Bombyx mori: one gene and its partners. The protein of the gene in region 2 purifies or fractionates together with the protein of the main gene of each other region. This does not show direct contact. Links are inferred from orthologs where the notes say so. Each region holds a gene or a part of one and is shown on either strand. Other genes may lie near its edges.

The links. Proteins that work in one complex are often made in the same cells at the same time.
Region 1: the proteins of DDB1- and CUL4-associated factor 7 (region 2) and prefoldin subunit 5 purify together in Homo sapiens (affinity purification with mass spectrometry; 3 studies listed by BioGRID and IntAct, with this or other methods). This does not show direct contact. The link is inferred for Bombyx mori from reciprocal best matches to the Homo sapiens genes DCAF7 and PFDN5.
Region 3: the proteins of DDB1- and CUL4-associated factor 7 (region 2) and probable prefoldin subunit 4 purify together in Homo sapiens (affinity purification with mass spectrometry; 3 studies listed by BioGRID and IntAct, with this or other methods). This does not show direct contact. The link is inferred for Bombyx mori from reciprocal best matches to the Homo sapiens genes DCAF7 and PFDN4.

What each region holds. Positions count from the first base shown.
Region 1 is NC_085112.1:5,059,296-5,070,534, reverse strand, and holds prefoldin subunit 5, read right to left. Parts: upstream 7,029-11,239; 5' UTR 6,873-7,028; coding exon 6,786-6,872; intron 5,827-6,785; coding exon 5,617-5,826; intron 5,003-5,616; coding exon 4,829-5,002; 3' UTR 4,217-4,828; downstream 1-4,216. Other genes in the region: glutaredoxin 3, read left to right, coding at 8,085-8,134, 8,426-8,594, 8,990-9,252. UniProt on the Homo sapiens protein: Binds specifically to cytosolic chaperonin (c-CPN) and transfers target proteins to it. Binds to nascent polypeptide chain and promotes folding in an environment in which there are many competing pathways for nonnative proteins.
Region 2 is NC_085118.1:1,106,906-1,118,026, reverse strand, and holds the start of DDB1- and CUL4-associated factor 7, read left to right. Parts: upstream 1-4,682; 5' UTR 4,683-4,913; intron 4,914-5,076; 5' UTR 5,077-5,097; coding exon 5,098-5,159; intron 5,160-5,574; coding exon 5,575-5,677; intron 5,678-6,476; coding exon 6,477-6,612; intron 6,613-7,130; coding exon 7,131-7,381; intron 7,382-8,427; coding exon 8,428-8,553; intron 8,554-9,347; coding exon 9,348-9,529; intron 9,530-10,727; coding exon 10,728-10,926; 3' UTR 10,927-11,121. Other genes in the region: uncharacterized protein LOC134199889, read left to right, coding at 1-819. UniProt on the Homo sapiens protein: Involved in craniofacial development. Acts upstream of the EDN1 pathway and is required for formation of the upper jaw equivalent, the palatoquadrate. The activity required for EDN1 pathway function differs between the first and second arches.
Region 3 is NC_085117.1:12,406,146-12,417,264, forward strand, and holds probable prefoldin subunit 4, read right to left. Parts: upstream 7,029-11,119; 5' UTR 6,726-7,028; coding exon 6,693-6,725; intron 6,548-6,692; coding exon 6,326-6,547; intron 5,474-6,325; coding exon 5,321-5,473; 3' UTR 4,697-5,320; downstream 1-4,696. Other genes in the region: sodium/hydrogen exchanger 8, read left to right, coding at 1-101; EN protein binding/engrailed nuclear homeoprotein-regulated protein, read left to right, coding at 8,569-8,664. UniProt on the Homo sapiens protein: Binds specifically to cytosolic chaperonin (c-CPN) and transfers target proteins to it. Binds to nascent polypeptide chain and promotes folding in an environment in which there are many competing pathways for nonnative proteins.

The sequences.
Region 1 (11,239 bases), on a different chromosome or scaffold from region 2:
AGACGGCTGGCCGATCCTTCGGCTGGTCGTAGGACCGTCGAGGCGATTCGCCCGGTTCTTGTGAACTGGGTGAATCGTGACAGAGGACGCCTCACTTTCCGGCTCACGCAGGTGCTCACTGGGCATGGTTGCTTCGGTGAGTTCCTGCACCGGATCGGAGCCGAGCCGACGGCAGAGTGCCACCATTGTGGTTGCGACTTGGACACGGCGGAGCACACGCTCGTCGCCTGCCCCGCATGGGAGGGGTGGCGCCGTGTCCTCGTCGCAAAAATAGGAAACGACTTGTCGTTGCCGAGTGTTGTGGCATCGATGCTCGGTGACGACGAGTCGTGGAAGGCGATGCTCGACTTCTGCGAGTGCACCATCTCGCAGAAGGAGGCGGCGGGGCGCGTGAGAGACGCACAGGCCCGCCGCCGTCGAGCGGGGGCCAGGGAGGCGGATCTCGCCCAAGCCCTGGCCCTCTAAGTGTTTCGGGTCTCCCTCACATGTCGGCCTGGGGACCGGCGAAGGGGGCCTAAGAAGACGACGTGCAAGCTGCTCTGCACGCGTTTTATGCATGAGCATCCGGGTGATGGAAGGCCGGCTATCCTCAACCCACGCTGGTTCTAACCCAGCGGGGTATTCCGTAGGATAGACCATTCTAACCGGTGCCATCTAGGCGGGCTTCGGATAGCCTGCCGACCGAGAGGGCTGGTGGTCGTGGCGCCGACGACCGCCAGTCCGGCGTCCCGAGGGGGAGGGTGATGGGAGAGATGTGCTCCGCACTAAACGCTTCACTTTCCCCCCCTTGCCTTTTCATGAGTTTTGTCTCATGCGAGGTTTGGACGTTGGTTGTTGAGAGACAGGAGGTTTTAGTCGGTTCGACTCCGACATGCCCCGCCCTCCATCCCCAGTGAAGGGTGGAAGTCCGGCGATTTCCTCCTGACAAAAAAAAAAAAAAAAAAAAAAAAAAAAAAAAAAAAAAAAAAAAAAAAAAAAAAAGGCGTCAGCGCTATCATTTTGGCCTAGTAATGAATAAAAGAAAACATTTGGTGTCACTAAAAAGTTTAGTTTATTTTAAAAATCCTATTATTCCCACAGCGTAAGGTCAAACTTCCGAAGTTTGCGCTCATACACAAAGAGTGTGACCATGAAAACTATCTATCTAATTGTACACAATTTCCTATATTCTAACGCGAAGACGCAAATTGTAAGCACTCAGTTTCTGGTGCACTTTGTTTAAGGAATGGTGACATTAAGGCTTCGATCACTATTGGTAGCCTTGTACTGTTATTTGGTTTATTTACCAACTAGCGACCCGCCCTCGCTTCGCTTCGGAAACTGTAATTTATTATTGATTTCTCCACTATTTAATGGATATAGGGACAGAGAAAGCGACTTTGTTTTGTACTATGTAGTGATATATTCCTAAAATTTCTAAACCTAAGTACTACGAAAATCTTCGAAAATTTAGTGAGATATAAGCTACGCCGAGCACAATCTTAAATGATGAAAATACACCGCTAGATCGTACACGATAAAAATAAATCCCAAGCACCATTGAGTATATTTTGTGTGTCTTGTAATGTGCCTAGGAACCCTAAACGGATTCAGCTTGATCTTAGGAGACAGATTTTCAAATTCAAAGACAAGGTCATGGGGATTTAACTGAGAAATTAAGATTTCACAGAATATATACACTAGGGCGTAATCAGCAAAGTAATTATGCAGTGTGAAGGATAAAACAGATGTTCTAAAACATATGTAGATATTTTGACCACATGTTTAAAAGCTGGCGGCGTCGATTTTTCTTTAAGCCTTGGGTTGGTGGACGGACTCGTGATACCTACACCTAGAGCTAAATGATTACGGATTGCTAAGGCATCGCAGAAAGTCTGTAGATACATCTAGAAAGAAATATGTATCTACATACCACTTTGTATCAACCATCAACATTCGACTTTTACGTCTATTGCACGCTCTAAAGGGTTTGGAATTAAAAGAGGCACCTGTTTTTGAGGAATATTTATAAAAATGTAATTTGAAATAAATTCCCTAGGAACTATATAGGGAACATTTTTACTATAGTAAAAGATAGACAATCTTACGACCCAGCTGATAGTATTTGGTCACCGACGCTCATGGACATCAGCAAATCCGGAGACCTGCGAGCCTAAGACGCCACCTACTACTATGAACTCAATTTAAACCTTATTTGAAAGACAAAAAATTAGCAGAACTTAACGCAATTTATATATCATTATAAGATTCAACGTCTATCCACAATCTGCCTACAAAGAATATTGCGGTATTTTGATCATGTTGCACGTAGGGATACCAGCAATTTGGAACGCCTTGTGGTGACTGGTAAAATGGAGAGAAAAAGGCCTAGGGGTATAGGTCCCAAACGATGGTCGGACCAAATAGCGGAGGAACTGGGGATACCTATCAGCGATGCACTCCACCGGGCTGCAGGACGGGTTCGATGGAGACAGTTGGCTGACGAAATCGGACGGAGTCACGATCCTCAGCAGTGAGGAACCGATCGAAGAGAAAGAGAGAGAGAGATATATCATTAAATATTTGAAGAAAGTTCCGTGTTTTTAAAAGACGTGATTGTTAATAACGTCTTAGGCGGCCCCTAGACCTACAATAACATTGTACCATACAATATAATGTACCTAGAATAAGGTTTAAAGGCGCTCTAAATCTAAACGATCAATTATATTGCACAATAATACGAACTGCACAATGTTCGCGAACTCAGTCAGCGCGTATACTCCTTGTCAAGACGAACCATAGACAAAAACACACGGTAACCGTACTCGTCGAACTCGACAAAGAGTTCGACGTGCAACCTAACCCATCAGCCCGCTGAGTTTCTCGCCGGATCTTCTCAGCGGGTCGCGATTCCGATTCGGTAGTAGATTCATTCGCGAAGCAGCTACTCTTGAGTTGGTCTCGGAGGCGCTCAGGCAGCTGTTAGCAAATCTCACCCCTCCTGGCTGAGCATTTGCTCGCCCACCTGTCCTGGTGAACCTGGAAAGGCCTCCGAGGCACCAGTAATACTTTAATCATAAAAAAAAAGACTTAAAACATTGCACTGACCGTACATGATGCAATAAATAAATATGGTGCAATAAAAATTAAACTATATAGTTAAAAACGTTCAATCATCGTGCAATCTTTAATATTAACCCTAGTCAAAAATACTGCCAAGTTCGCAATACCAGGCAATATAATTGATCGTCTAGATTGCCGCTTACGGTAGGTATACTTATGAGATAGTGAAAATCCTAGTATTCGAATCATGGAATTAAATTATTTTAAACTGTGATATTGTACAGACTTTAAGTCTAATAGCTGTGCATTTTTCGCTACCTATTTGCTGGTAGTTTAAGGGGCTATTGTAGCTACGCGCGGACGAGACTGCATTAATCATCATCATCACTACATAGTACAAAACAAAGTCGCTTTCTCTGTCCCTATATCTGTCTGTTCCTATGTATGCTTAAATCTTTAAAACTACGCAACGGATTTTGTTGCGGTTTTTTTAATAGATAGAGTGATTGAAGAGGAAGGTTTATATGTATAATAACATCCATTAAGTAGTGGAGAAATCAATAATAAATTACAGTTTTGAAGCGAAGCGAGGGCGGGTCCCTAGTAAGTTATAGAAAGAAGAGTTTAGCAATACACAAAGGCGACATCCGAGTCGTCTATTATCAAAGGTGGCAATCTGTGCATTTGGACAAAAAAATGTTATTGATATGTCAATACAGATTGATTTGAATATAATCGTCTCCTTCAAAGAATACGGTTCAAAACCTGCATTAAATAAAGGTTAATAGTTAACCTGTTATTTATCTAAGATGTCGTTCCGAGGAGTTTTGTGACTGCCAATGGAATACAAAGTCAATAATTCGTTTTTCTAATTTACCAATAATTGTCCAAAAGTCAGATTGCCGGCTTTGATAATAGTCGACTCATCTATGGATTGTGTAAGAAAGTTGTAAATTACATTTATACGAGTATGTAACTATCCTTCTAGAATTTGATTATTACTAGATACAACAACAATACAGGGTGTTATTCTTCAGAATTCAATAATTAGATCATTAAAACATTTAAAACAGTATCAGAATATATCTTAAAAAAAGAAGCCACTTTTTGCTGATGTTTGTTTTAGCCGCGTTTTTTTTTTGTTATACTGGATCGTTCAAGTAAAACTTGGAAATATATTTATATATTTATTTTAAACATAAGCACATTTTGTTACATTGAATTAAATTTAAAACTAAGCAATGAGTCTTGTACTTGTAAAACACATAGTTTGAAATGATATAAAGCTTTACAAAATTACAAAACATGAATTAAGAATATTATTAACATTACTTGATGCTATTGAGTAGTACTCTTGAGGAGTATTCTAAACACAAAATATTACCTTAGGTAATTAGTTTCAAAATTTATCCAAAATTAAAGAAAATGTGAGGAAAAGCTTTGATGTGGCTTAATAATATTATCTAGCTTTACATTAGAAAATATCAGTATAAGTCATAGCTGTTGGGATTACGTTAATACATTCAGAAACTTGGCTTTGCTCTGAAATCACTGATGTACAGAAGCAATAGTAACCACTTTGATTAGGACAGGGTGATACGTGGTAACAAAACACAAATGATTCCACTTTTAACACTAAGATGTAATCATTAAAATGTTTTAAAAAGTAATTAAAATACTTTAAATAAACTATAAATTAACAAAGCAGAAAATTTAGGTCAACTCTATACATTAAAAGGACACGAATCTCTCCACAAAATATTTTTTAAATTAAGTCTCAGATATGTTATGAAGAGTTAGCTTTTTTTGCTTGTAGTTCGTTTTGAACTTTCATTTCAACTAATGCATTAACAGCTTCACGGAGTTTCGATTTCTCTGCACCTAACATACTTATTTTCTCCATTTGTTCTGTAACAAATTCTACTCTTCTCTTGAAGTAATCTTTGCCACTTTCAATGTCCTAGAAGCAGAAATAAAACGTAATACAAACATATGTCAGCATCATTAGCCCTAAGGGGTAACCCATGCAGTTAATTTGAAATTATTTGAAACTATATCATGATTCAATCTTCATACCAATATTCTAAAGTACTCAACATTTTCTGAAATGAGGTTTGAAATGAAAACAGCAGCTATACATGATATATTATCCTGCCAAACTTGGAGCTGAATTAAGTGTTAAATTAGGTTTAAATTTATTTTTAACTAGCGCCCCCCCTCGCCTCGCTTCGCTTCGGAAACATTAAATTTTATTATTGATAGCTGAGTCCCGCGATGTTATCCCGTGGTACGACAATAACCGACGCCGCGGGCCGAACCTAATCTAAGAAGTAGCCTAAGTTACTCCTTATATCATCAGCTACCTATCAGTGAAAGTCTGGTCAATATTGGTCCAGCCGTTCCAGAGATTAACCGGAACAAACAGACAGACAGGCAGACAGACAAAAATTGTAAAAAATGTTATTTTGGTGTATGTACTGTATATATTCATATGCATGTAGTAAAAAGCGGTTATTTCAATATTAAAAACAGACACTCCAATTTTATTTATATGTATAGATTTAAGTTACTCACTTTCTTAGCGTAATATCCAGTGCCAATGTCAATAATGACATTCTCAACATCAGCTATTGTGCCAGGAACATACATTGAACTAGTCAATGGAACAAGCATCGGTTTTCCTTTGATATCAGGCGTCATCTTCTCTAGAACATCTCCTGATTCACCAAACTTATTTTTAGCCATTTGTAATGTTTGTATTGAATCATGAAATACTGTCAATTCCTGAAATAAAATTTTATGGATTTTGTGTGAGAGTATTGCCTTTTTTTCGGATGGAGATAGCTGGTTGCAAGGAGGCCACTACTGCTTCACTAAGATAGGCAGGGCAAGCATGGGAGCAGCCAGGAGGAGTCAGATTTACTAACAGCTGCCCAAGTACTCCCAAAGTAGACCTAAAGACTAAAGGGCAGACGTTTTACTAATGCATATTGTAACATAACATCAGTTACTAACATACAGACACATTTTCACTGGTGGTAGGACCTCTTGTGATTCCGCGTGGGTAGGTACCACCACCCTGCCTATTTCTGCCGTGAAGCAGTAATGCGTTTCGGTTTGAAGCTGTTGTAACTATACTTGAGACCTTAGAACATATCTCAAGGTGGGTGGCGCATTTACATCATAAATGTCTATGGGCTCCAGTAACCACTTAACAACAGGTGGGCTGTGAGATCGTCCTCCCACCTAAGCAATAAAAAAAATGTCTCCCTCAATTTAGTCATTATGTTTGATGTTCCATTTCTGGCTAATTATAGCAATAGCTACAATACAATAAAGAAAAGCGGATATGACCTGAAGCTGACTGTTTACGAAATAGTCTTCCAATAAAAGATCAGAACAACAACATGATGACTGCTTGTCTACCAAAAATGAGCACATTCAGTGAAGTCTTCTCTTTAACATATCTTAGATTCATAGCTTTGTGAGTTGGTATTTGAGGTCCGGGTTCATGTCACTAACAAGTACACCTAGATACACAACTCAGACCAGAAAACATATGGAAATGTTTTCATTCCGGCTTTCATGAGGGTCCTTAAAATAGGACATAAGTCCTGTCTCTTAAGGACATTAATAGTTACGACATTTAATAATTATCTGTATAAATTATATTATGTTGAAGAAATAATACTTAATGCTTACTATTTCTAAAATAGCTCTATAGATATTTCCTTTATACATACCTGGTCTAACTGCTGTTTCAATTGAGCTAGTTGAGGCAAAGGTAGTTTGTTTAAATCGATTTGTTGAGTGCCTGAACCGGATGCCATCTTTGTAAATATTAATAAAAGGAAATAATAAAAGAACTTAACACACGTTTCTAGTTATTCTATTTAGTTTTTTGTAGGATCCTAAGACTATTTCTTTTTTCTAACCTCAAAATAGGTAGATTTCGGGTAGGATCCAAAACTTCAGTCAGAATATGTCAATTTGACAGTTTTACTTGTTTGGTCCAAATTGACATGCAAACAAATTCTGCCTATAACACCAAATAAGTGAAAAAAACAAATCGATAAAGAAAACCTCTTAGTAAAATGTTGAGAATTTACAGAAACTAAACTGGATTTATTAGTGTGTATCAATTTGGCTAGTCATATTGGTAGTTTTCTACCAATTTGACCGCTAACGAAAATCGTATTAAAGAGGTTAATAAATTTATAAGTTAACAATTATGTTGCGAGCATTTCGAGAGAGCAATGACTAAGCAAACCTTTTAATCACCATATAAATTAGCAAAAAAATTGGCTCAGACACAAAAAAATCTACCACTAAGCTTGATCATTAACCGTAAACAATAAGATGGCTAAGCGATTTTAAATAAATAAGATATACATGACATAATATAACTTCGCTGTGTTGCTAAAACTCCTTATTGTGTACATCTATTTATTATTTATGACTCCTTTTGCTTGTCCAAAAAACAAATCAAACAAAAAAATTTGGCTCGAAATAGAGATGATGATTCGACTTCAGACCAAAATTTTGAAAAATCGATTCTAGAAAATACCCAAGTGCAACCAAAATGACACAAAAATCAATCAAACAGAAATTAACAACAAATTCATTCAAAAAATTTAATAAATACATGATTTATATACAACAACTTTTTAAATTATTATTATTTAAAATGTAAATTTAAATTTAATAAACATTATATTTAATATATTCATAATCAGTTGAACCATAAATACTTTATTAATGCCTTTTCATCAAATTTCGATTTTCTACTGCTTAAGATGTTTCACTATTCACGATTTAAGTTGTTAACAAATTAATTTACTCAAGTATCGATCTTAGACCACATCCCTAATCAGAGATGTCAGAAACTGAATGAACATGATTAAATAAATTGTAATTTTTGCATCGAGTACACCTACGATTCCGGATCTTGCTGTAATTGTAATTCAATCTTGCTGTAATCCAGTGGCGCTTATATACTGTTTACAAAATTTATTAAAGTAACCTAAACATAGTATACTGAAATGTCGGTCAGTAAATTGGACTCTGTTGAAGATTTTAATAATTTTATAAGGTAAGAATCACCGCTAATAAAAAAGTACTTTTAAAACCGTTTGTGAAAGGATCATTAAAAATAAGCCATAAAAAGAAATTAAATTAAATACACAGTAAATAGGTAAAAATGTTAGATAATAAATTACTATGTAGCAGGATGGTCAACATTTTGCATTCATTGAAATGGAAATATGTATTTAGAATATAAAATTGAGAATATTACTTTCAATTAATCTTTTATCACAACAAGATGATTCTTTAATATCTATCTTGGTATTGGCTGATATCAAAAATTATTTAATTAATTTAGATCACCTGCACTTGGAGTAGTACACTTTTCAGCAGAATGGGCCGAACAATGTAAACAAGTTACAGATGTACTTGAAGAACTCTTAAAACTTCCTGAAATTCAGTCGAGCAAGACACAATGTGCTGTTTGTGATGCCGAGGCACTTTCTGAAGTTTCCTTGCAATATAAGGTAATGCTCTGCTAATATATTGTTAAATAAAAAGTAATAAGTGCTAACCCTAAAAATGTAGTGCATCATAAAGCACAGACAATTAAGTCACCTATTGCAATACCTGTGTATACTTTTTTTATTATTTATTAAAGCCATACACTTATTAGGTTAAGTCGGCTTATATACCTTTATGGATACATCAATTTGTATCTTGATTTTGGTTACTCAACTATGCATTAAAGACTTTATGTCATTCTTCAGATTGAAATAGACTACTTTAGGAAACACTACACTAGACCAGTTAAGCAATCAAAGAGCCTATGTAATTGAATATTGAAATAATTTATAATGAAAACAATCAAAATAGGGAAAGCCTGTTTTAGACAACTTATTAATGATTATGTTTATTTCAGGTAGATTCAGTGCCTACAGTTATATTATTTAAGAATGGAACTCAAGTAGACAGGATTGATGGAGCAGATGCTGCTCAAATTAGCACAAAAATTAAAGCACAGAGTCTTAATAAGAGTCCTGCAGAAATAACCCCTCAGAAACTTGAAGATCGACTAAAAGCTTTAATAAATAAGCATAATATAATGGTATTCATGAAAGGGAACAAGGAAACTCCAAGATGCGGGTTTAGTCGTACTCTCATACAAATTCTGAATGGAACAGGGTATGTATTATTGATGAAATGATCAATACCTATAATTTGATTGCACTATTTTACATGTGTAAGTATAGATGTGACTTTGTCATGTGAAATTTGGCTTGGCCCTCGAGACAAGTTTTGTAAAAACTAAAGAATGGAGAACATTTTGCCTATTTCTACAAAACAAATAGGTATGATTTAAATTGCAAAATGAAAGATTTTTAGTTTTCTATTTTTATTTATTTTGAATGAATATTTATAGTGAATATATACATATAAAAATCACATGCTTTCTTACTCTAATGTAAACAGCAGTCCATCTTCACCAATTTGATTTGATATTTTCATGACACTCTTCATAAGTATGAAATCATTTTTTTTTTATTGCCTAGATGTGTGGACTAGCTCACAGCCCACCTGGTGTTAAGTGGTTACTGGAACCCATAGACATCTACAACGTAAATGCGCCACACACCTTGCAGAAATAGGCGGGGCGGTGGTACCTACCCGTGCGGACTCACAAGAGGTCCTACCACCAGTAATTACGCAAATTATAATTTTGCGGGTTTGATTTTTATTACACGATGTTATTCCTCCACTGTGGAAGTCAATCGTGAACAATTGTTAAGTACGTATTTCATTAGAAAAATTGCTACCCGCCTGCGGGATTCGAACACTGGTGCATCGCTACATACGAATGCATCGGACGTCTTTTAGGCCACGACGACTTCAAAATTACCTATAAACTTGGTTTATTTTCACAAGTAAACCGTGGAATAAAAACTTTTCTGCACTCTTAGCGTGTGGCGGGTAGCCATCATACAACGCAAGATAATTGACAGATGCCTGAATCTCGCTTATGACATTTTCAAGATAAAGCGCATATATCACACATCCCATCACAAGTGGGCTGTGAGCTCGTCCACACATCTAAGCAATAAAAAAATAAAAAAAATACAAGTTCCGAACAACGACATTCGGACCGTCGGTCTACCGAGCAATATCACCCGCTCGGTGGAAGATCTTTCCTTTCGTCGTTAAGACTCCCAAAGCGCACATCAAAACACTCCTTTTGGCCTGACATAGCTTTTTTAGTACTTTTTTTGTTGGTCACATGTTTTTAGTGTAGTGCTAGAAATAGTACTGTGACGTGCTCGGGTTCGGGATAAATAAAACTTTCACCGAAGTACAAATTAAAACTCTATTTAACTCTTAGAACATTTAAGGCACACTTCATAATTCCTTTACACAACTTTAAAACGCGCTGAAGGCATTCGAAAGCAATACCGTCATCTTGATAGGAGTTATGAATACGATAGGGAAAAGCGACAATACGGACCAACACGACTAAGGGAAGCAATTTATTAAAGTCTGCGAAAACCACGACCTTGTTATCGGAGGTACACTTTTCCATGATAAAAATATACATAAGTATGCGTTGACTTCACCCGATGGCAACATACGTACGAAGACCAAACTAGCTGCCAAGTGTTCACAAAAAGTGTAGTGCCGATATCGGCAGTGGTCATATGTTGATGGTCGCTGAACTCCGGCACAAGGTTGCGACTACGAGGCGAGCAGCTGGCAGCAACAAGATACGACTTAAGTTCGATTGGGGACAACTTGATAGAAAGATTTCTCGAAGTAAATTTGCTTTGGAACTCCGAAATTGTTTCTTCCGTCTCTATGCGAATACTGATAATACAGACGAAGAGTGCAACCGAATCAAATCTATCAAGAAATCAGATCTTCTGTCTTAGATCATCTTGGAAAAAAGCGCGATGATTGGACCTCCGACGACACTTGTGACCTTAAACAGACTTGATGCGATCTTCACCTAAACATCCTAGAAACCCCGAACAAAGCCGAACGGTCTTGCCTTAGGGACCAGTACAGTCAAATACGTACATGAGTGCATCTATCGCAGCACCAGAAAATACAGGCGACGATCTACTGACGGTAAGCTGAATGTGCTCAAGCAGCAGTCGATACGGGCAACCTGAGGCAATTG
Region 2 (11,121 bases):
CAACGCATCGCCTTAGACATCGTCGGACCATTACCAGAAACTGGTCAAGTTAAGCTTAAATATATATTAACATTGCAAGACGACCTAACAAAATACTCTACTGCCTACCCTATTAGTAATGCCTCAGCCGAAGAATGCTGCGAATGTCTCATACATTTTATATCTCTTTTCGGAATACCAAAAATAATATTAACAGACCAAGGTACAAACTTCACCGCCGACCTTTTTAAGAAAACTTGTGAATTCCTCAAAATCAAACAATTATGGTCTTCGCCCTACCATCCTCAAACACAAGGAGCCTTGGAAAGGAGCCATTCTACACTAAAAGAATATTTAAAATCATACGTTAACGAAAATCAAACCAACTGGCACAAATATGTTTACACCTATGTCCTAGCCTACAACACTAATGTACATACTACTACAAAATTCACACCCTACGAATTACTCTTCGGCCATAAACCCTATCTACCCGATTCTATTTACGATCCTAGTCCTAGTGGTACCTATCATGAATATGTTAAAATGCTAAATCATCGCCTCAAATTAACACGCGATAAAGCTTTAGAAAATATTCAGAAATCAAAAGAAAACTCCAAAACCTATTATGACCGAAGGTCTCGCCCTTCCACGTATAAAATCGGTGATATGGTATATCTAAAAAACCACTTACGTCTACGGAAAGCATTATCACCCTTATGGAAAGGACCATACAAAGTGGTAAAAATACATGGAAACCACACACTTTCCCTTCTCATAAATCGACGACACGTAAGACATCATTATGATGAAATTAAACATGCAGAAGTTGAAACCTAATAAGTATGATTGTGTAATTAATATGATTAATTATTTTATTAGTTTTATTTCCTCTCTAGTATAACTTAACTCAGTAGCCTTTAAGTTAAAAACATTTATCGTAAAACATAAATAATAATAAATACATTCTCTTACAGCCTGTCGGCACCATGTCAAGGCCTATCACGCACTCGAGAAATTACCAATATCGAACAAATTACGAAAAGCCCTGGCATTTACTTTAATCCCTCGGGATCTGTTAGGATAATTAGTGATTATTTACATGTATTAGTACCAATGGACATAGACTACATTAAACCCCATATAGATAACATTCAGACGGTTTTGCATTCAGCCAGATACTTCTGTACTAAAAACAATGTGGTTGACGACCTAGAGTGCGAGAATATGTTCATGCCCCTTTTATCTATGTTCAATGATATCTCAAGGGACTACCACGCCATTTCTCATCTTATCCAAAGTAAATCAAAGAGGTCTGCGTGGATTTCCGGCATCGGCACTATTCTTAAACATATAATAGGCACCATGGATGAGAATGATGCTATAAGGTATAATAAAGCCATTCAAATACTTAAAGATAATAATAGAAAAACTCTAGATTTGATAAAAGAAAATATCCTTATCTCCAAGTCGGCAATTATAACACTCAACGAATCCATAATTGAAATCAACACTAATGAACATAAATTAAACAAAATGATTGAAAACCTATCTTCCAGTATTAAAAACCTAACAAAGGCAAGTAATGCCTTGTTGTTTAAATCTACAATACATGACATGATAAATGTTATTCAATCAAATATGTTAAACTTGTCCTATAAACTAGAAGACATCATAAACTCAATTTTGTTTTCAAAAACCAATACGCTACATCCATCAGTCATAACACCCAAAGATTTGTATTATGACCTTGTTAACAATGTTAAATATCTACCTAGATATTCGGAATTAGCTGTAAGTTTAGAATTAGAAAACATATATGTACTTATAAATCTCTCGGAAATTATTACATGTATTTTAGAAAATAAGCTTATATTTAGTCTTAAAATTCCTCTAGTACTCATTGATACTTATACTTTGTATAAGACAGTACCTATACCAGTACCCCATAATGTAACATCCAAATCTTTTGCACTAATACTACCTACATGTTCTTATGTGGCCTTAAATCAGAGAAAATCGAAGTATCTTAAACTCGATAATCTTTCTAAATGTAAATCTATTAATAAGGAAACTCATATTTGTAAACAATTAGATGAAATAGATATACAAGACTACCCCATCTGTGAAACAGAAATAATGACAAAAGTCTTGAAATCACTTCCGAAACAGTGTAAAACTAAATTTTTATACGGCCATGCCAACATATGGCAATCCTTAAATAATAATAGATGGGTCTTCACACTATCTGAACCCACTAAACTCAACATTGAGTGCACAGACGAAACTACCGAATATATAGTTTCAGGAACAGGCATATTATCCCTGAAACCAAACTGCACTGGATTCTGCAAAAACATAAAATTAATAAGTAAAAGTTATCCTGAATATAAATTCAGTCACATACACTCAGAATTCAATTTAGTAAACGATACATGTTGTAACCCAGCAGTGTTTGAAAATTATAATTATACCGAATCTATTACAGGACTGCATAACTTAGAATCGAATAATTTAGACCAAATAATCAACAAAGCTGATAACATGCTACAAACCTTAAAACATTTAAAATCTCAGAACGAATCTATTTCGATAAGCACTCCCCATTCCATTGTCACATACTTATTTGTAATACTATTTGTTATTTTTATATGTTATTATTTTTGTCATAGAAAGTGCGTGGCTTTTGTGCGTAAATCTAAACCAAACGAAAACACGACGCAAATAAACACACCCCCACAAGAAAATATTCAACTAAATACCCAACCGCGAATAAGAATCCATTAAACTTTATATTAAAATAATCATCGAAAACTTCGGAAAGCCGTAAGTTTTCGCTTAAAGGGGGAGCTGTTATAATATTAACTAGTATATTAATTAATTTACCTAAGACCGAAAAGTGCCTCTAGCAGCACTTTCCGGCCTAACATATACTAGAGCCCCGTTGGCTCGATGTCAGTCACTCTGCGTCGTTACTATGAGCCACACTCTTTCTAAGTAGAATTTTGTATCTTCAAAGTGAATAAAATCTTTTTTAAAAAGAGTTTTTCAAAGTCCCGTATAACAGAGCGCATTCCATTACGCTAACCCGACCTTACGAATTCAGCGCATGAACGCCATTACTTCGGTTAAGGACGAGTCACGCTTTCTTTGTTACCACACTGGCCACTGCATTAGGGACCAGTTACATAATAGTTTACCAGCGTAATAAATAATAATAATAATAATATAGCATCCATTATGGATTTGGTTCGGATAGCATTTGCTGATTTCCGAACTTGGAATGATATTAATGATACAATAGACTTAACTTTGTATACCTAAGTGGCCGACATTCTAAACCCGTAGAATACGGATAACGGATACAGAACTATCCGTTACTTTAACAATTCCTGAAATTTGATCAGCATCGATGGAAGGTGTAATTAACTCACGTGGATCATTATGGGACAAAGCAGTCATAATATGTTATATTTTAACTGTTTTGTTTCTTTATTTTAAAATTTAGTTTTAGTTTATTACAGATTTAGGCTATAAAAAATTAATTGGGGCCTTCGTTTTCATTTTTGAAGATTGTTATCATGTAATCACGTTCCGTTTTCTATTGCATCTGGTTTCTAGTTACCACGAAATGGGGAACACACAACTCAGGCGAGCAGACAGACGCTCTTCGAAACGTCATGGCATTCGAACAAAGCGCCTAATAAAAAGTTTTACATTGCCAGTGTACTTTATTGCTATTAATTAAATTCGGGCACTTTAAGTATCTATAATAATCTTTAACATAGTTATGAGTTAAAAAGTTATACAAACTAATAAGTCTGTCCTTAATTTTTAATTAAGAAACTGAGACTGCCCAGGTATCTAGGCAATAAAAAAATATTATACACAATAATAGAAAACGTAAGAAATTTAGAACCTTTTTACCTACGATATCAGATCAGGAATATGGAAATTCGCAGGAAAACCGTAATAACTGACATAGCCGAAGGAATTGTGAGATTGAAGTGGGCAGAGCATTGCTCGTAGAACAGATGGCCACTATGGCTGAAACGCTTTCGAGTGGCGACTGTGTAAAGATGTAGCTTGGGTGGAGCTCCCACAAGGCAGACCAGCTACCTGTTAAATATAGCGGGAATCCGCCGAATGCAGACAGTGTAGGACCGGTCGTTGTGTCGAGGCTTTGGGGGGGCCTTTGTTCAACAGTGGACATCTGTGGATATTGTCGTTTATTTAACTTTCTATACATAGCCTGGTTTTACTACTCATTCAGTTTCGAATAGGTAGCTTACTCATTATTGAATTTTTACCAGGCATATGTCTTCAAATCCAATTTCGTCTTATTGCAGCCAATTTAATTTATTTTTAAATTATTTCATTTTCATTCATAAAATAATTTTCATTACACTTTTTTAACAACTAACAGAGATTCGACATATACTAAAGTAGGGACCCGCCCTTGCTTCAGAAACTGTAATTGATTATTGATTTCTCCACTATTTAATGGATGTTATTATACATATAAACCTTCCTCTTCAATCTCTATCTATTAAAAAAAGCGCATCAAAATCCGTTGCGTAGTTTTAAAGATTTAAGTATACATAGGGATATAGGGACAGAGAAAGCGACTTTGTTTTATACTATGTAGTGATGAGGTTTACTCGCAGATGCTAAATTCCCGTTGCCTAGTCAAAAAACGAAACGAAAAAAAATTAAAATGTCAGATTGTCCTACTTGCCAGTTGTCAAATTTTGTAAAAATAATGCTTCATGCTTGTTTTCTCCACACAAAACTAAGTTTTTAGTTAATTTCCAATTATAAAATACATTAATTGAAGGTACAGAAGCTCATGGACAGTTCAATATTTAAATAGGTATATTTAAATCAAACATAACAAAGCCGCTTGGTGGCCATTCTGTGATATTACGGCAAAGGTACATAAAATATATATTTTTTGTAAATTTAAAACCATATGTAAAAATCTAAAAAATATAACTTGAAAGGTATGAAAACTTACGTACTTGAAAGACAAAAAAAATAAAAAAGTCACTATTCATTAAAATTTCATATAAATATCATTTTGATTTGTGTTTTCAGAAACATTAAACATTATCAGTGATGTCGATGCCACACAGCAGTTCGAGTACCAGTTCAGGCACGAAACGTAAAGAAATATACAAGTAAGTAACGTTACAACACAATATGAACTATAAATAACAGATTGGAAATAATTGACAGTATAAAATACAGAGTTGACCCAATTTTGAGATTGCTAATTATAATTAGGTATAGCGTGTTATTTATTTCTGTACCCATTCCTATGTTTCGAAACATTTGTAATACAATCAAGCAGGCATTATGGGACTTACTAATTTAATGCTTTAGATGTTTTGAAATATACAGATAATCCTTTCACAATTCCCGAAAAGAACTAAAGTGATGTTAACAAATTGCAAAAACAGCCTTATCTTGATAATTACGTACGAAATTTGAGTTGTTCATACAGTTAGGTTAAATTCTCATAAACGAAGTTGTGATAAAAAAAAAACACTATAAGCTAGACAGCTGCATTTCTATGTCACACATCTTTTACAGATACCAAGCGCCATGGCCATTATACTCAATGAATTGGTCTGTCAGACCTGACAAGAGATTCAGGTTAGCCCTGGGCAGTTTTGTTGAGGAATACAACAATAAAGTAAGCTTTTACAGAGCAGTTATTATATTAATTTAGTAATTTACAAAACATACCAACAGGATTAAGTAAATACAGTATAAAGGCCCAGATAATGAATCATGCAAAGCTAATGCAATTTTAGGGAAGTCAATTTGTCAAAAATTTCCCACTCATTGAATTATAAAAGATAGAGGTGTGTGCCTTATAATCTATAAATGCATAATATTACCAAAGAAAATACACAATAAATTACATATTTTTGTTGTTGTTCATTTTTCAGTAGTTGACAGAATTGGTAGGAGCACTTAGTTTGTGGAGGCTGTTCTTATAGACCAAGTAGACAAATACAGCAAGAAAAAAAAAATTCTAAGTAATTATTGGTGCATAATATTACTTACTTAATTCCACCATTAAATTAGTAAAAACTCAACTACATACTACTAATTAGTTAATTGTTTAGCATAATATACAAACATATAGTAAGTAAACCAGGAGTTCCCAAGATATATAACCCACTTAGACACACAATAACTTGACCGCAAAGGTTTTAATTGGTGAGTATGTTGTATGAATAGGAAAAGAACTAGGGATAGGGTTTTTTAAATAATTTGGGTATGGGGTTTTGAGGTATCAGTTCATTTTAAAAAGGGGTCTGCCAAAAATTGTTTTATATTACCTAATATAAATGAATTTATTAGTTTTCACTACATTGAAGGATTTTTAGTGAAAACTAATATATTAATGGTTTCATTTAACACACATACTGTATTGTAGCATTCCTTGTGCATGACATAAGCTTAATAAAACTCTTAAATCCTAGGTACAAATAATTTCCCTTGATGAAGACACAAGTGAGTTCACTGCAAAAAGTACCTTTGATCACCCGTACCCGACCACCAAGATTATGTGGATACCTGATAGCAAGGGGGTGTATCCAGACTTGTTGGCAACTAGCGGTAAGACTTCGGTAGCAGTTTGTTAGCACTAAGATTACCATATTTAATATGGAGATAATGAGGCTTGAATTTACTTTTACACTGCTACATAGACAAAAACATATACTCCCAAAAATAATGCTTACAATATCATCTCTCTCTAGAGAAACAGTATTCATGATAGTCTTTGAGCTCCATAAACCACTGAATTGTACTTAACTGAGCCTGTCTATCTCCTTTGTCGTCATATCACTCTTGTCAGAGCGGTTGTGGTCGTCATTCAGCATCATTGCTGAGGGCAGATGTTATGCGCCTCACAAGCAATCGCTACTCCTCCCGGTTTGTGGTGAGCCTGGTACACTCATGCAAACAATAATAATCAATCTACATAAATAAAAATAAGTGATACCCTATGAGTACAATATGAATGATTGTGATGTTAATAGAGGCAACTTTCGTTGACATAAACAGTTTTGATAAATAATCAAATTCAAGTAAAACTATTCAATAAAATTTCACAATGGTGCCTTATGTTGCAGGTGATTATCTACGCATATGGCGTGCCGGAGAGCCGTACACATTATTCGAATGTGTCCTAAATAATAATAAGAATTCTGACTTCTGTGCTCCTCTTACATCCTTTGATTGGAACGAAGTGGATCCTAACCTCATTGGCACCAGTAGTATTGACACGACCTGCACCATCTGGGGCTTGGAGACTGGACAGGTCTTGGGCAGGGTCAATGAAGTGTCTGGGCACGTGAAGACTCAGTTGATCGCTCATGATAAGGTTTGTGATTTTTATTTAATAGAAGATCTTGTTAATTCATTTGTGTCCAAAATTTATGTTAATGATTATCTGAAGATTATTGGTGTCTTCAAAAAATTTTCGTTCTGCGAATCTAGTATAACCCCTCGAGGTTACAAGAATATGTTGAAAAAAAAATTTTTTCAAATCAATGTATTCAAATATGTTTAAATCACTTATTACAATTTTGACATGATACATATTTATCAAACTAAAGAATTGCAGGATTGAAATGGGCATGTTACATACGTGCCCGATTTCATAATGATCACATAACATTTTAAGTTTTAATGTAATCATAAGCATGTAGTGTGAAGTATATTCAAGGATGCTCACAACAGATACTAATAGAATTTTATTCTATTGGAGATTCCATTAAAAATCTATTAGCATACACAAAACTGGTGGTAGGACCTCTTGTGAGTCCGCACGGGTAGGTACCACCACCCTGTCTATTTCTGCCGTGAAGCAATAATGCGTTTCGGTTTGAAGGGTGGGACAGCCGTTGTAACTATACTGAGACCTTAGAACTCATATCTCTAGGTGGGTGGCGTTATTTACGTTGTAGATGTCTATGAACTCCGGTAACCTCTTAACACCAGGTGGGCCGTGAGCTGGTCCACCCATCTAAGCATTAAATAAATAATAATAAACAAAGCCGAACGTATACGCCCCTATCTGGTTTTATACACCTTGACATAATACAAGATGCACTCTGCGTGTACATCTTGCTAGACACTGTAAAGTGATGGTTACTTGAACAATAATTTGTCCTTGTCTAACTCGCCTTAGAGAAAGGTGGCTGAACAAAACTTTATATACATGTGGGGGTATACGAAAAAAAGGTTCGACGGTCCGAATGTGGTCGTTCGGAACCTGCATATAGGCAAGCTTATTAAGCTATAGCAAGCTTGAAAATGTCGTAAGCGAGATTCGGGCATCAGTCAAATATCTTGTGTCGTGTGATGGCTACCCGCCACATGCAACTTCTCGCGTACGGCAGCCCTAATGCCGGTGTTTGTGCGCAGGAAGTGTACGACATAGCGTTCAGTAGGGCCGGCGGGGGGCGAGATATGTTCGCTTCCGTGGGCGCCGACGGATCCGTCCGGATGTTCGACCTCAGGCATCTAGAACATTCCACCATCATTTATGAGGTAAGTACAGGAGGCAGTAAGCAGCGTCTTTCGGCGCTCGTGCATGGGCGCATACTATCATTATTTGGACATGTCTCCCGGCGAGTAAATGACTCCATAAAGCGCCTTATCGTTCAGGGCAAAGTAGAAGACACCAGACCGCGTGGAAAGTTGCACATGCGATAAACTGACCAGGTCAAGTCAGCTATTGGCGGCTGTTTGCCTGAGTGTACCAGGCTCACCACAAACCGGGAAGAGTGGCGATTCCTCGTGAGGCGCATAACATCTGCCCACAGCAATAATGCTGAATAACGACCACGATCGCTCTAACAAGAGTGATACGACAAAGATAAAGATTCAAGAGGCCTGCGGCACGAATGACTAACACAATGAAGGAATGCCGCGTTAAGTCCGAGTTAGTTGACCATGTACTGTGGTAGTAAGACGTCTTGTGAATGTGCACGGATAGGTACCACCACCCTACCTATTCTTGTTGTACTGTGAAAAGTGAGGCCTTAGAACTCATGTCTCAAGGTGGGTGGTGGTATTAACTTTGTACACATCTATGGATTCCGGTTACCCCTTTAGCACTACGAGGGCCGTAAACAGCAAAGTAGAATCGGCAAAATTGCGGAATTTTCACTGTAGGTAGTAAGATCGATATCACAGATCTGCAGTATCGGGCTGCAAAACAGTCGTCTGTGAGGACCCGTGCAGTTTGCCTGTGAGCGCCACGAACTGGTCTGATCGTGTTTATGTTGAGAAGCTGCTGTCAACATAACAAGTCTTATGGCAGACTGTAATGTAACACGCAGGACCCTCAGCACACCCCGCTGCTCCGCCTGGCCTGGAACAAGCAGGACCCGAACTACCTGGCCACCATCGCCATGGACGCGTGCGAGGTGATCATACTGGACGTGCGCGTGCCCTGCACCCCGGTGGCCAGGCTCAACAACCACAGGGCGTGCGTCAACGGCATCGCCTGGGCGCCGCACAGGTTCGTAGGCCAGGTAGTAAAGTAGGAGCATCAAGGTTGCTAAACAAGCCCATCCGATATCTCCTCCTCTGGGACTGTGTTCCTCAGCGCATTATACGCAAAAGATAATTTGCGTAATGACTGGTGGTAGGACCTCTTGTGAGTCCGCACGGGTAAATACCACCGCCATGCCTATTTCTGCCGTGAAGCAGTAATACGTTTCGGTTTGAAGGGTGGGGCAGCTGTTGTAAGATAATGTAATACTGAGACCTTAGAACTCGTATCTCAAGGTGGGTGGCGTATTACGTTGTAGATGTCTATGGACTCCAGTAACCACTTAACAACCGGGTGGGGTGTGAGCTCGTCCACGCACCTAAGCAATAAAAAAAACAATGTTCTTGTCGTCAAGTTCTTAGAACTCTTCAAACTAGACTGTGCAGCCGAAAACACCAACTTTTGTTCTAATTCAGTCCGTAAGGTATGCTCCTTGTATTGTGAACGGACCACAATAATATAAATAATAGTTTAAAAAAAACAAAAGAAACGCTTTTATAGAAAATCCAACTAAAAAATAGAAAACAAATTTTAATAAATTTGTTTTTGTTGTGTTTGTAAATGTGTTTTTTAAAATAAAATCATTTTTTTTACACTATTTTTAATTCAAATTTATTACAATTTATTTTATATTTTTTAGTTGGATTTTCTATAAAAACGTGTTTTTTTTTATAACTTTTTTTTAAACTATTTTTATTTTTCATTTTTTAGTTGAATTTAAAAAATTAAATTTTTTTTTTTAATATTAAAATGTCATCGATCCTTAATAAGTATGCCAAATTTCGAGTTAAACCGACGTTTTGAAGGGGGTCAAAATCACGTTCAAAGATTCCGATACAAACTAACATACATACGTCTCATAAAGCTTATTAATAAATAATAATTACAAAATTTTAACCCTCAGACACAGCCCACTGAGTTACTCGCCGGATCTTCTCAGTGGGTCGCGTTTCCGATCCGGTGGTAGATTCTGCGAAGCACGGCTCTTGCTAGGGTTCGTGTTAGCAACGTCGTCAGGTTTGAGCCCCGTGAGCTCACCTACTAGTTAAAGTTACGCTGAAATAGCCTCTCAAAGCTCTCAGCATAGGTAGAAAAAAAACAATTAGAATAGTATGAATTCTTTTGTGTTATTTCGGTTCGTTTTAAAGTGAAATTTTTAATTCAGTTCTTGTCACATCTGCACCGCCGGAGACGACCACCAGGCCCTCATCTGGGACATACAGCAGATGCCGCGCGCCATAGAGGACCCGATCCTCGCCTACACCGCCGCCGAGGGAGAGGTCAACCAGATCCAGTGGGGCGCCACACAACCCGACTGGATCGCCATCTGCTACAACCGGCACGCCGAGATACTGCGCGTCTGAATATATCCTGATTGTACAATCCGGTGTGCAGTCGTGTGGACTGTAACCCCTGAAGCCGGCGTGTAGTTTGACGGTAGACGACAGTCGGTTAAACAATATACATATAGTCCTTAGAATCGGACGGTCGCAACAGATGATCCTTCGAGCTTGATTGTTGGAACGGGTATTTTAGTTGCAACATTTCAATTATTTTAT
Region 3 (11,119 bases), on a different chromosome or scaffold from region 2:
AAGCGATTAGGATATCCAATGATAGAGAAACGGATGAAGAAGAAATTTTACAGCAGAATTCCCTTCCGAGCTCACGCAATAGTCTGCAAAGAGGTGTTTAGTAAAATGTTTAATATAATTCCAAAATATTTTCTATGCTTATATGTATAATCTTTGATCTTACAATTAATGTATGCACACGTGCAGCTCTAATAAGTAGCTTCATCTAAGCTGATCTTAAACCTTAGCCTTAACAGTTCACCGTGCTGTGCGCGAGAACAAAAGACCATGGAGTGTCGTATTTACAATTCTTATCTCTTTATTTCAATTTTATTTTTATTGTGTTGTGTATTTTATTTTCAAACAATTTATGCATTTTCTCTTATATAATAATTACTTGTGCGTCCTAATTTCATATTTAAAAAATCATAAAAACTGTATGGCACTTTCGTTCTCCATCCGTATGAATGTGAAGACAGCGTGAGAACGCTACCTTGAACCCTCACAACACAGCCCACTGAGTTTCTCGCCGAATCTTCCCAGTGAGTCGCGTCTTCTGATCCGGTGGTAGATTCTGCGAAGCACAGTTCTTGCTAGGGTTCGTGTTAGCAGCACTCCGGTTTGAGCCCCGTGAGCTCACCTACTAGTTAAGGTTACGCTCAAATAGCCTCTCAAGACTCTCAGCTTAGGTAGGAAAAAAGCTACCTTGCAATACGACGACCTCCTCTTCGTGGTTGCGGTTAATTACGCCGTTGACCCGACTCATGCTGCTGTCCTTTAGCAGCTAGGCCTCCTTCGCCGATCGGACAGCTCCTAGCAAATTCCCGGGCTCTTAAGTTTGCCCACCCATCCTCGTGAAGCTGGAAAGCCCCCCACCATCAGTAATAACTCAATCTCATGAATTCGTGCTCTCATGAAACGACATGCTGGATTATTAGACTCGTAACAAAAAGATTTATTGATATCGTAAGATGTATATAAAACGCTCATTAACAGTCCGATAAAGAAAAAACGACTATATAGTTATTGTAGGCGATGGTGAGTAAGGTCCGATTTAGACTCATCTGATAGAAGGAAGAAAAAAACACCTTAATGGAAGGGGAAGGGTGGGAGAAGTAGCATTGGAGCCGTGTGAGCACTCTATTGAGCAAATTAAGTGATCATCACGTGCTATCAAATATCGGGGTAAAATTTATTGGTCGTTCAGACGCGGCACAATAAATATGGCTAAATCAAGTGTTTACCTACCATTATGGCGGCGGCACGCGCTACTTTTATTTTGTTATAAGTTGTAAGTCAATAAACAGGTTATTTTTTATTAATTTATTGCGTAAACGCATGAAGGATCCGACCTTATATAAATGTGTATTGTGACTATAGTGTATATAAAAAATCTTACGGGCATCTTATTTTAAGTTTAAGAAACCATTCCCGCATGTTGCCTAATTTGCGCTTCGTGATCTGTATAGGTTCCCGTAAGCCCATAACACCAGAAGGGGCGCGAAATCGTGTTCCCAATCAAAACAATAAAGCTAATAGATAACAGCTAATAGAATTAAAGGGTATTTCAAAACATCCTTATTTTGTTTTATCAAATGTTCGTAAGATCCCGTAAGAAGGTATAAAAATGCTGGTAGTATCAACAAAATAATATGTAATGCTTGGACATGCCAAATAATGTGCCCAAGTGATCGCTAATAGGTCGGTCTGACAACGTACTTATTAAATATATTGATAAGACAAGCCTAAACGAAGGTCGCGTCGCGTCTGCGGATAAAAGCTAATATGTTATTGGCTAGATATTAATTCGCATCTATTAATTTGTTCCTAGCATAATGAATAACTTTATTAGAACACCTATGTACCGTTTTTTATAAATGGTGCGTTTCGTGGTAATATTTAAATTGCGCCTAGTATTCTGTTTCACGAGAATAGTTAATAGAATAGGTCATAAATGTTGAATATTGAGGTCGATTTATAGACAGTGATATGTTAAGGTTTGTTGGCCTCTTAGGTTTAATGGTTGTATAGTGACTGACTTTTGTAGCAGGCACTCGGAGCGAGTTCAAATTCCTGTCAGTCAGTATTCTTATTATAGATTGTTGCAATTTTTTTTGTATTTCTCATACGTATGTGTGTTTCCGGGACCCGATGGGGTTTGTCACGTATATAATTCTTCTTCATCCTAGTCGTAAACTCTTGGCAAAGTGGTTGTCATGTATCACCGATGCGCTCGCGATGCGACGCCATGTTTATAATAGACGACGTGACCATGACGTTTATAATAGTTCCGCTTTAATTATGTACAGATAGGCAAAAAGAGAACAGTTAAGTTTCTTTTTCTTCTCTCTTTGCCCGATTTTTTTCCCATTACTGGTTATTGTCTGATAACCACGAGCTTTGGTGTTATCAAAACTTGTTTTTGTTTTTGGAAATGCCTAGTAAATTTGCTTTCAGAATGTGCATAGCAAAATAAATGAGAAAAAGTAAAATAAATCTAAGTAAATCATGAGGTGTCAGTGATTATTCTCGAATTTTGATCATTATATGAACATTAGTTTTAATAAAAAACGTAAATATCAGATATTTTACCATTTCTAAAACCAGTGATAAATGAACTTCATCATGTTCTTTGAGATGATTGTGTGATTTTATCATAAACGTGATTCAATTCGGTGTATAAACACCAATATTTTAAGTGTTACGGCTTTGTATTTTAAAACTTTTATTTAATAATTTATTTTTATAGTCTTTAATTGGATACTAGGTGCTATGTTATACGTTTGTATTTTATTCGTCTACTGTGAAATTTATTTGCATCAGAATTTTAGTATTAACGAATTTGTTATGTTCTTTAATTAAATATTATGAAAGGTATTGACGTTACATTTTCGTAATTACATACTGCTTAATAAATGGTCATTGTAATAGGAGCTAGTGGTCAAGGGTCCGAAACTTCTAAAGGCGGGAAAATTTGGTGTAGAAGCAATAAAGATATAAACAGTAAATTTACGTTTAAGGTGTACTAAACGTTGGGTTATTACTTATTACTAGCGCCTAAAAAAAATTTGGTTTTTATAGTATTGATGTTGATCGCATTTAGCATTTTGTTAATGAAGATAAATTATGTTCAATTTATGTAGGATGTAGGTAATGAGGTGGTATTTTTCAGTGCTTAGGCTAAGTTAGGCCCTGAATATTATTATTTGCGATTATTCTTCATGATAAAAAAAAAGTTTTGTTGTCAGTGCCTAACCTAAAGCACAGTTACGCATCTATTATAATAATAATATATCGTTGATTAAACTATTTTGACATCGACTTTTTGTAGAAAATGTTAGGGCTCGTCTGGTACGTTCGAAGAGTCGAATTTGTTTGGTACAAATTGTAAAACGCATCAGCATAATATAGTATACCGTTAAATTCTCGCCTCATATTTATAAAACCCGGGTTTAAAATAAAACAGCCCTGTCTTTAGGATATGTTCCTTTTTTCAGCAATATTATTTTTAGGTTTATTGATAGTAATAGCCAGGCGAATGTGTTGCCGAGACATTGTACTTAATGGAAAACACACCAAAGAATTCGAAGCACCAAAAATTGCCTGAGATTTTTTCAGATATGCCATTTTGTTTTGTCGATATTGGAAATGATGAAGCTTTGTATTTTGCGGTGGTGTATATTTGCACATAAAATAGTGGTGCACATAAAATGTGTTTTTCTTCTGTATTATATTGTATTAGTATTATGATTAGTAGCTTTATTTGTTTGATAAATTAGTATGATTGTATTAATCAAATTAATTTTGTGATAATAAATTTTAAGGTTTATGTTTATGCTAGTAATCCTGGTCACGCTTTGCCGTGACTATAAGTAATTGTGTGAAAAAGATATATTTCTTGAAACTATTCATGCGCTATTTATGTTTATGGTACTATGACAGAAACCTCTCCTGGAGCTCCAACCACATATTATTATGCATCATCAAAATAAATCACAAGTAACACATACTAATCTCACACAAAATTTTAATACAATTATAATTTATCGATTACATGCAGTGGTGAGATGAGCGGTTCGATTTTAGATTCTATGAAAATATGACATTAATACAAATGAGTTCAGTTAATAAGGTTAAGGTTTATTATTATTTAATTATCATAAAATTATTACTACCTAATCAACGGTTTAGTAACGTATAGGGAACACAACTAGAATCTTTATACATCGCACTTATGGCAAAATTCTTGTTTTTTGGTAAATATAATTGAAATTGAAGAAGCCAAAAATGTAATTGAAGAGTTGTAATTTTTCAGTTTTTAATACTTAAAGCCTTAAAGCGTATACCTTAAATATTATGGTATGCCCTTGATTTTAAAGAGAGGGAAAGTGTACTTTGTCCTTTTCTAACTAAAAAGGTGGTGTGTTATTTCAAAAAGACTACTTATAACTGTACTACTGTAACTATACTTGAGACCTTAGAACTTATATCTCAAGGTAGGTGGCGCATTTACGTCGTAGATGTCTATGGGCTCCAGTAACCACTTAACACCAGGTGGGCTGTGAGTTCGTCCACCCACCTAGGAATAAAAAAAAATAACAGTTCTATATCATATAAGGTATTGTTGTGTAAAACACCTCAGAAAAGCTTAATAGTGACAGCATAGCATGACTGGGATTCACTAATGTACGTCTACTGTCTATTGTAATAATGAAACTTTTAATTAGTATAATATATTTCAATAAAAATACAAGACCTGAATAAGTTGACAAGTCACGAATGCAACTTTCATGTTTAATTATTTATTGAAAGTTAAAAAAGATAGATATCAATTTTGGAGTAACTCCCAAAACATTTTCACACCTTCAACATAACTACATAAGCACAAGGTTAGCTATGTACCACTATTCAAGTAATAACATTTTTTATTATGTACTTTGTTTCCCTTTTATGAAAATGCATCATAGAATGATGTCTGTTATATTTTTATTTATTTATTAAAACATATTTAGTTATCGTGATAATAAATAATTGATGTGTATATTATAGTAATGGAAAATAACTTAAGTGAAAAATCAGTATACATATTCCACAAATCTAGATAACAACAATAATATATTTTGTTCTATATTTAAGGACCATTTCTTTGAACTTAATAAGTCTTTACTGTAATTTTAAACTGCATTGAAGTAGGTCAGCCAATTTTCGAATTAAGAAACATAAATTCTTATTGTGTAAAAACAACAAAGTTTAGAATAACAATAATTATTTGATGTGAAGCCTATGTAACTTAAAAGCTTAAAATATGAGTACAATTTTTGTGAACAAAATTAATGTTGTTTCAATCTTCCTCATTTTCCAAGTTAATGTGGCTACCAAATTTTCCATACAAGTGTGCTTTCAAGTCACTCATTTGTGATTTTAGTTCCTCACATTTTTCTTCTAAATCATGAATTTCATGTATTTTTTTTGCTTTAGCTTCCTCAAGATTTTTCTGGAATAAAATTATAATACTAGATTTAAATATATATGAGTCGTCTATTATCAAAGGTGGCAATCTGTGCATTTGGACAAAAGTTTTTTATTGATATGTCAATACAGATTGATTTGAATATAATCGTCTCCTTCAAAGAATACGGTTCAAAACCTGCATTAAATAAAGGTTAATAGTTAACCTGTTATTTATCTAAGATGTCGTTCCGAAGAGTTTTGTGACTGCCAATGGAATACAAAGTCAATAATTCGTTTTTCTGATTTACCAATCATTGTCCAAAAGTCAGATTGCCGGCTTTGATAATAGTCGACTCATATATAATATTATTTAAGGGTATATACCCTTTTTTATTTATTGAGTTAAGTGTTAAGTTTAAATATAAAATGAGATTAGATAGTTGGATATTTTTTAGTTCTCAATTTTCAGTTGGATTAATATTTAACTAATCTTCAATCAAGCTTAACCTACAAATAAGGCACTTTTATATATTAGAAAGAGAAAATTGTATGTTTCTAAAAATCTATAATCTAACAAGCTTAGCACTAAAAGGGTCAAAAAAATTTGTTATGAACTTAAGGCTTGTATATGATCCTACAAAATGCATTAAGTAATCTGTCAAAAGATGAGTGAGTTTTTGTTTTTGAGATATGCACTGAAAAATATTTAAATAATTCTCTTGGTATTCGCTTTTTACTGAAGCATTAATATCAGATTGAACATACATTATTTTATAAATAAGTTTAGGATAAACTGCTGCAACTTTCTTTTATCAAATGACCACTATTTTACTTTTAGTTAATAAAATATATAATATTAATGAAATTTTAAAGAATATTAATGTGATAGTCTTACCAAAGTAATTTCCAAATTCTGACAAATAAAAATTTCACCAATAAGGTAAGGGATTTTTTCAGAATCATCAGCAAGGCTCAGTTCCTCAACTGCTTCTTCTAGGTTCTTTACATCGTTTTGTTTTACTTTGAGCTCATCCTTATAATCGTCAACTTTAGCATTGAGACGAGCAAACTTGTTAATTTTTTGTTGATCTTCATATGAAATGTGTACATCAGAGTCCTAGAATGCCGAGGAGAAAAATAAATGAAATTCAATAGAATGTTCATGTTTCGTACCTAAAATGGTCTCAATATGGTTAATTAATACAGTAAATTTCTTCTGCTTGTTATGTTTTGACAAAAATAAGTATTGCACATTTACTTACTGGCTGAAAAGTTCCTTTAGCTGTAGTTGACATGTTTACTATCAATATTTAAACATAAAGCATTAAATTTCGGCTGCGCTTAACCTCAAATCGAAATTGTTCATTATTGTTCACTTTTTTTAAGCGTAATTTGTTCATTGAATAGGCAAAAGGAACTTAGCCTATAAAGCCATGTTTGTAACGAAGGCCGAACGGAGTGAATAGTAATTGATTTTGGATGTTTATTGATTTTATGATTGATGATGATTAAATGGAATAAAATGTAACCAAATTCAACATAAGATGAGACAGCATGGTTGATTTTAAAAGGAACAACCTATCAGTAAGATGGTGCCTGCTCATTATGACTCATTAGACTACCTAAGTTTCGAACAACAAAATTGACATTGGATCAGCTTGGTGGAAAAAAAACTTCTACAAAATTATTTTTCCTACCTAAGCCTTGATTTTTTTTTTTTTTTTTTTTTTTTTATTGCCCTTGTAGGCAGACGAGCATACGGCCCACCTGATGGTGAGTGGTTACCGTCGCCCATGGACTTCAGCAATGCCAGGGGCAGAGCCAAGCCGCTGCCTACCGCTTAATACTCTCCACAAGCCTCGTTTGAAGAAGGACATGTCATAGCGCTCGGGAAACACCGTGGAGGGGAGCTCATTCCATAGCCGGATGGTACGTGGTAAAAAAGACCTCTGGAAACGCACTGTGGATGACCGCAGTGGCTCCAGGTAGTATGGATGAACTCTACTCCGGTGGCGGGCGGTGCGATGGTAAAAACGAGATGCCGGTATCATCTCGAACAATTCCTCAGAGCACTCCCCATGGAACATACGGTACAAAATACAGAGGGAACCGAAGTCCCTCCTTGAGAGGCTATTTCAGCGTAACCTTAACTAGTAGGTGAGCTCACCGGGCTCAAACCGGAGTGACGCTAACACTGACCCTAGTAAGAGCAGTGCTTCGCAGAATCTACCGCCAGATCGGAAATGCGTCCCACTGAGAACATTCAGCGAGAAACTCAGTGGGCTATGACTATGGGTTAATTCGCTCGTCGAGCCCTTCATCGCAAGCGACGGGTTCGACGAGGACGGTGCTTGTGGTGCCTAAAAGCACCGTTAATGGATCGGGAGGATCCGTAATGACGTGCTTTGGGCAACGTCGACTGCTTACCATTCGATCTACAGGATCGGGTATGTCTCACAGCGCTCAGCAGCCCTAACTATAATATGAATGACTTCGTATACCTATTAAAGATTTGACGAATGTATCGGTATATACCTGAATGTGCACGGTAGAAGCAGGCTGGACGGGGGAATCATAGTCTACAAAGACTCCTAAATAAAAAGAAAGATAAAAAGAAAGATAACGATTTCATTCCACTCAACACAAAAATTCGGAGGTAGGAGACTAAAACGAGAATGTTGAATGAGAATTACTACAAATGAATATATATTATGTTAATAAAAATACCCAGATAAGTTCATCTGGAACGTATCTGGGTATATTTATTTATCCTTTTCATTATTTCAAAATAAGTTAGAATATTACCCATAATTTAATATCAGATACCGTTGTGCCGTGTGTTTCCCTTGATTGATTGATGCTTCGAATGATCTGAATGAAATGAATAGAGCAATATTATACTGATACGGATTTTTTATTATGGATCTAAGCGGTATTTTCAGCCATTGTATAAGAATGCAAAACCGGGCGGGCGACCGGCGACCCCACCACGGCCGTTCTCTGCGCCTACGCTCGACGACACCACTCACTTGTCCTAAGTTGTCCGCAGACCCGCACTTCAACTTCGAACATCAGACACAGTGCGCGTTACCCAGAGACGAGCAATAAATAAATTTTGATAAACAGTATTAGGTCGTGATGGAAAAAGAACACCAGCCAGACTCGATGGCTACAATAACTATGAAGCCGGAATATCCGCCTTCTGAAGTATACAGCACATCAGAACCGCCACCGGTATGCAAAACCCGTTACCTATTTAAGAATTAATAATATATTATTATTATCATATTGAATAAAAATATGATTAACATTACAATAAAACACAAACTTTAATTTTTAATTAAATACGTACATTATTTGAGTGCAGTAACTGAACAAAAATCTTTTATTTTTATAGATTACATTAAAATAAAATATCAGATATGAGTCGACTATTATCAAAGCCGGCAATCTGACTTTTGGACAATGATTGGTAAATCAGAAAAACGAATTATTGACTTTGTATTCCATTGGCAGTCACAAAACTCTTCGGAACGACATCTTAGATAAATAACAGGTTAACCATTAACCTTTATTTAATGCAGGTTTTGAACCGTATTCTTTGAAGGAGACGATTATATTCAAATCAATCTGTATTGACATATCAATAAAAAACTTTTGTCCAAATGCACAGATTGCCACCTTTGATAATAGACGACTCATATAGTATAGTCATTAATTTCCTGTACCTATTCAGAAATGTATGGTTTTCTAATTGTTAAACTATTATGACAGTCACTAAATGAGGCAAAATAATTGTGCAGTCGAATAAGTAGGATACAACTGGTGGAAAGCGCCTTTCTCTCGGTCTAGTGATTGTCTATAGCAGGTGACGCGTAGACACTTGTTTGTAAACACAGTTACTTTATTCATTCGAGATATTGGCAATATTAGTGTTCGAAAGACCTAGAAATCAAGAAATACCAAGTTATCTAATATATAAATTGTTAGACGAAGCTACGACTGAGTCAACAAAAATTAATTCAAACAATAAATTTTTCTGAAGTAAAATTTTACGAATTTATTTTATATTTAAATTATTGTTGTATTCTCCACTTATCAAGTGCTTGATTTAGGTAACAAAAAATATGAGTTTTTAATAAAAAACATTTTCAAAGTTATTATTCTCAGATTTGTTTACACACATCTTTAGCTTTATATTTTTTGCAACCAAAAATGAGAAAGAAATGACATGAGGAATCATAAATTATATTAATATGTTAATCGTGGGAAATTATATTGTTGTGTTTTGTGCGAGCATCTGACAGTTTCTCATCAAAATCTTAAGACTTTATTAAAATCTTCTATAATATTCAAATTCCAGATTGGTTTAGTCCAAAAGTTTTTGTAGTTCAACATGCTAAGTCGTGGAAAGAAAAATATCTATGCGGTTGAATTTTCTTTTTTTTTTCTTTTTAACATCTTTTTATTCAGAATTCGCTTCATTAAGTATATTTTTTTGTTATTAGATTAAAAAAGTTCGTTCGCAACATAGTTCAGAAATTGTGGGCACATTTAAAATAACACTAGGGACGACCAGTAAACTTAATTCTATTGAAAATATAATATGATTTCTTGCACCTCAAAATCATTCCACTTGCATCGAGCCTATATTTACTTTTTGGTTCGTTTAAAAAAATACACGCGGAAAAAATCTTTTAAATAAAAGCCTTCTTGAAAGGATTTGGATCGTCCCAAAAAGACTAGATTTGAATTGACGTGAATGATGAATTGATTGACCGCGCGGTTTTTCCCCATAATCTTTACAGCCATGACTAATTTGCAGAAATTTACAGTTCCCAATTTAAAAATAAAAATAAATGTTTTGGAAGTTCCTGTGGTTATGAAAACAAAGAAGTTTTTACAATAGAGATAAACAATGCACAACACAATCCGGAGTGAAATCGTTATTGGCTAGTTGACCAAGTGGACAATAGGCTTGCGTCATGTCTCAGTCAGTCACAGTTTGATATTTGCTCGAAATATCCACGATTAATAAACAATAGTTCGTACTCGTTTACATTATAATAAATACAATTTATTCTGACATGAAATAGCCGAGTAAAGTTGTTGCTTCTTTTCCTCTAAGTGCGACAGGTCGACATCAAATTTATTCATGTAATGTTCATGAAATTTTTTAACTTACGGCAACTTTTTATAGTCATAGTCAAAGTGATAAGTTGTAAACATTAGGACCACGGTGAAAGACAGTCATTTAGCTAAGCAGCTTAAAGTGGTCGAATTGAGTCGTAAAGTGTAAACTAAACAATCACTTTTTCATTTAAATTACAATTTAAGCACAAAGTGGTTGTGCGATTACAGTGACATATTATGACTTACGTGATAATCACTTTGATGTTCATGGTACCAACGTGTGATTGGTACCAACGAATTTATCTGACAAATAATGAATAAATACATTTTCTAGATATATAAGTGTCTTTTATAAAGTTTCACAAATAGCGGAAATGATATTTGAACTGTTGTTTTTTGCAGTAAACTTTATGACTCACATACACCGCTAAACACACAGAGGTGTTCACTTTCACTAATATTAAAAACGTAAATATTGATTGATTTTTTGCTCAAAAAAGATTTTTTTGTTCCTTCACAAAACTTTGTATTATATATTTGCACTTCATGCACATTA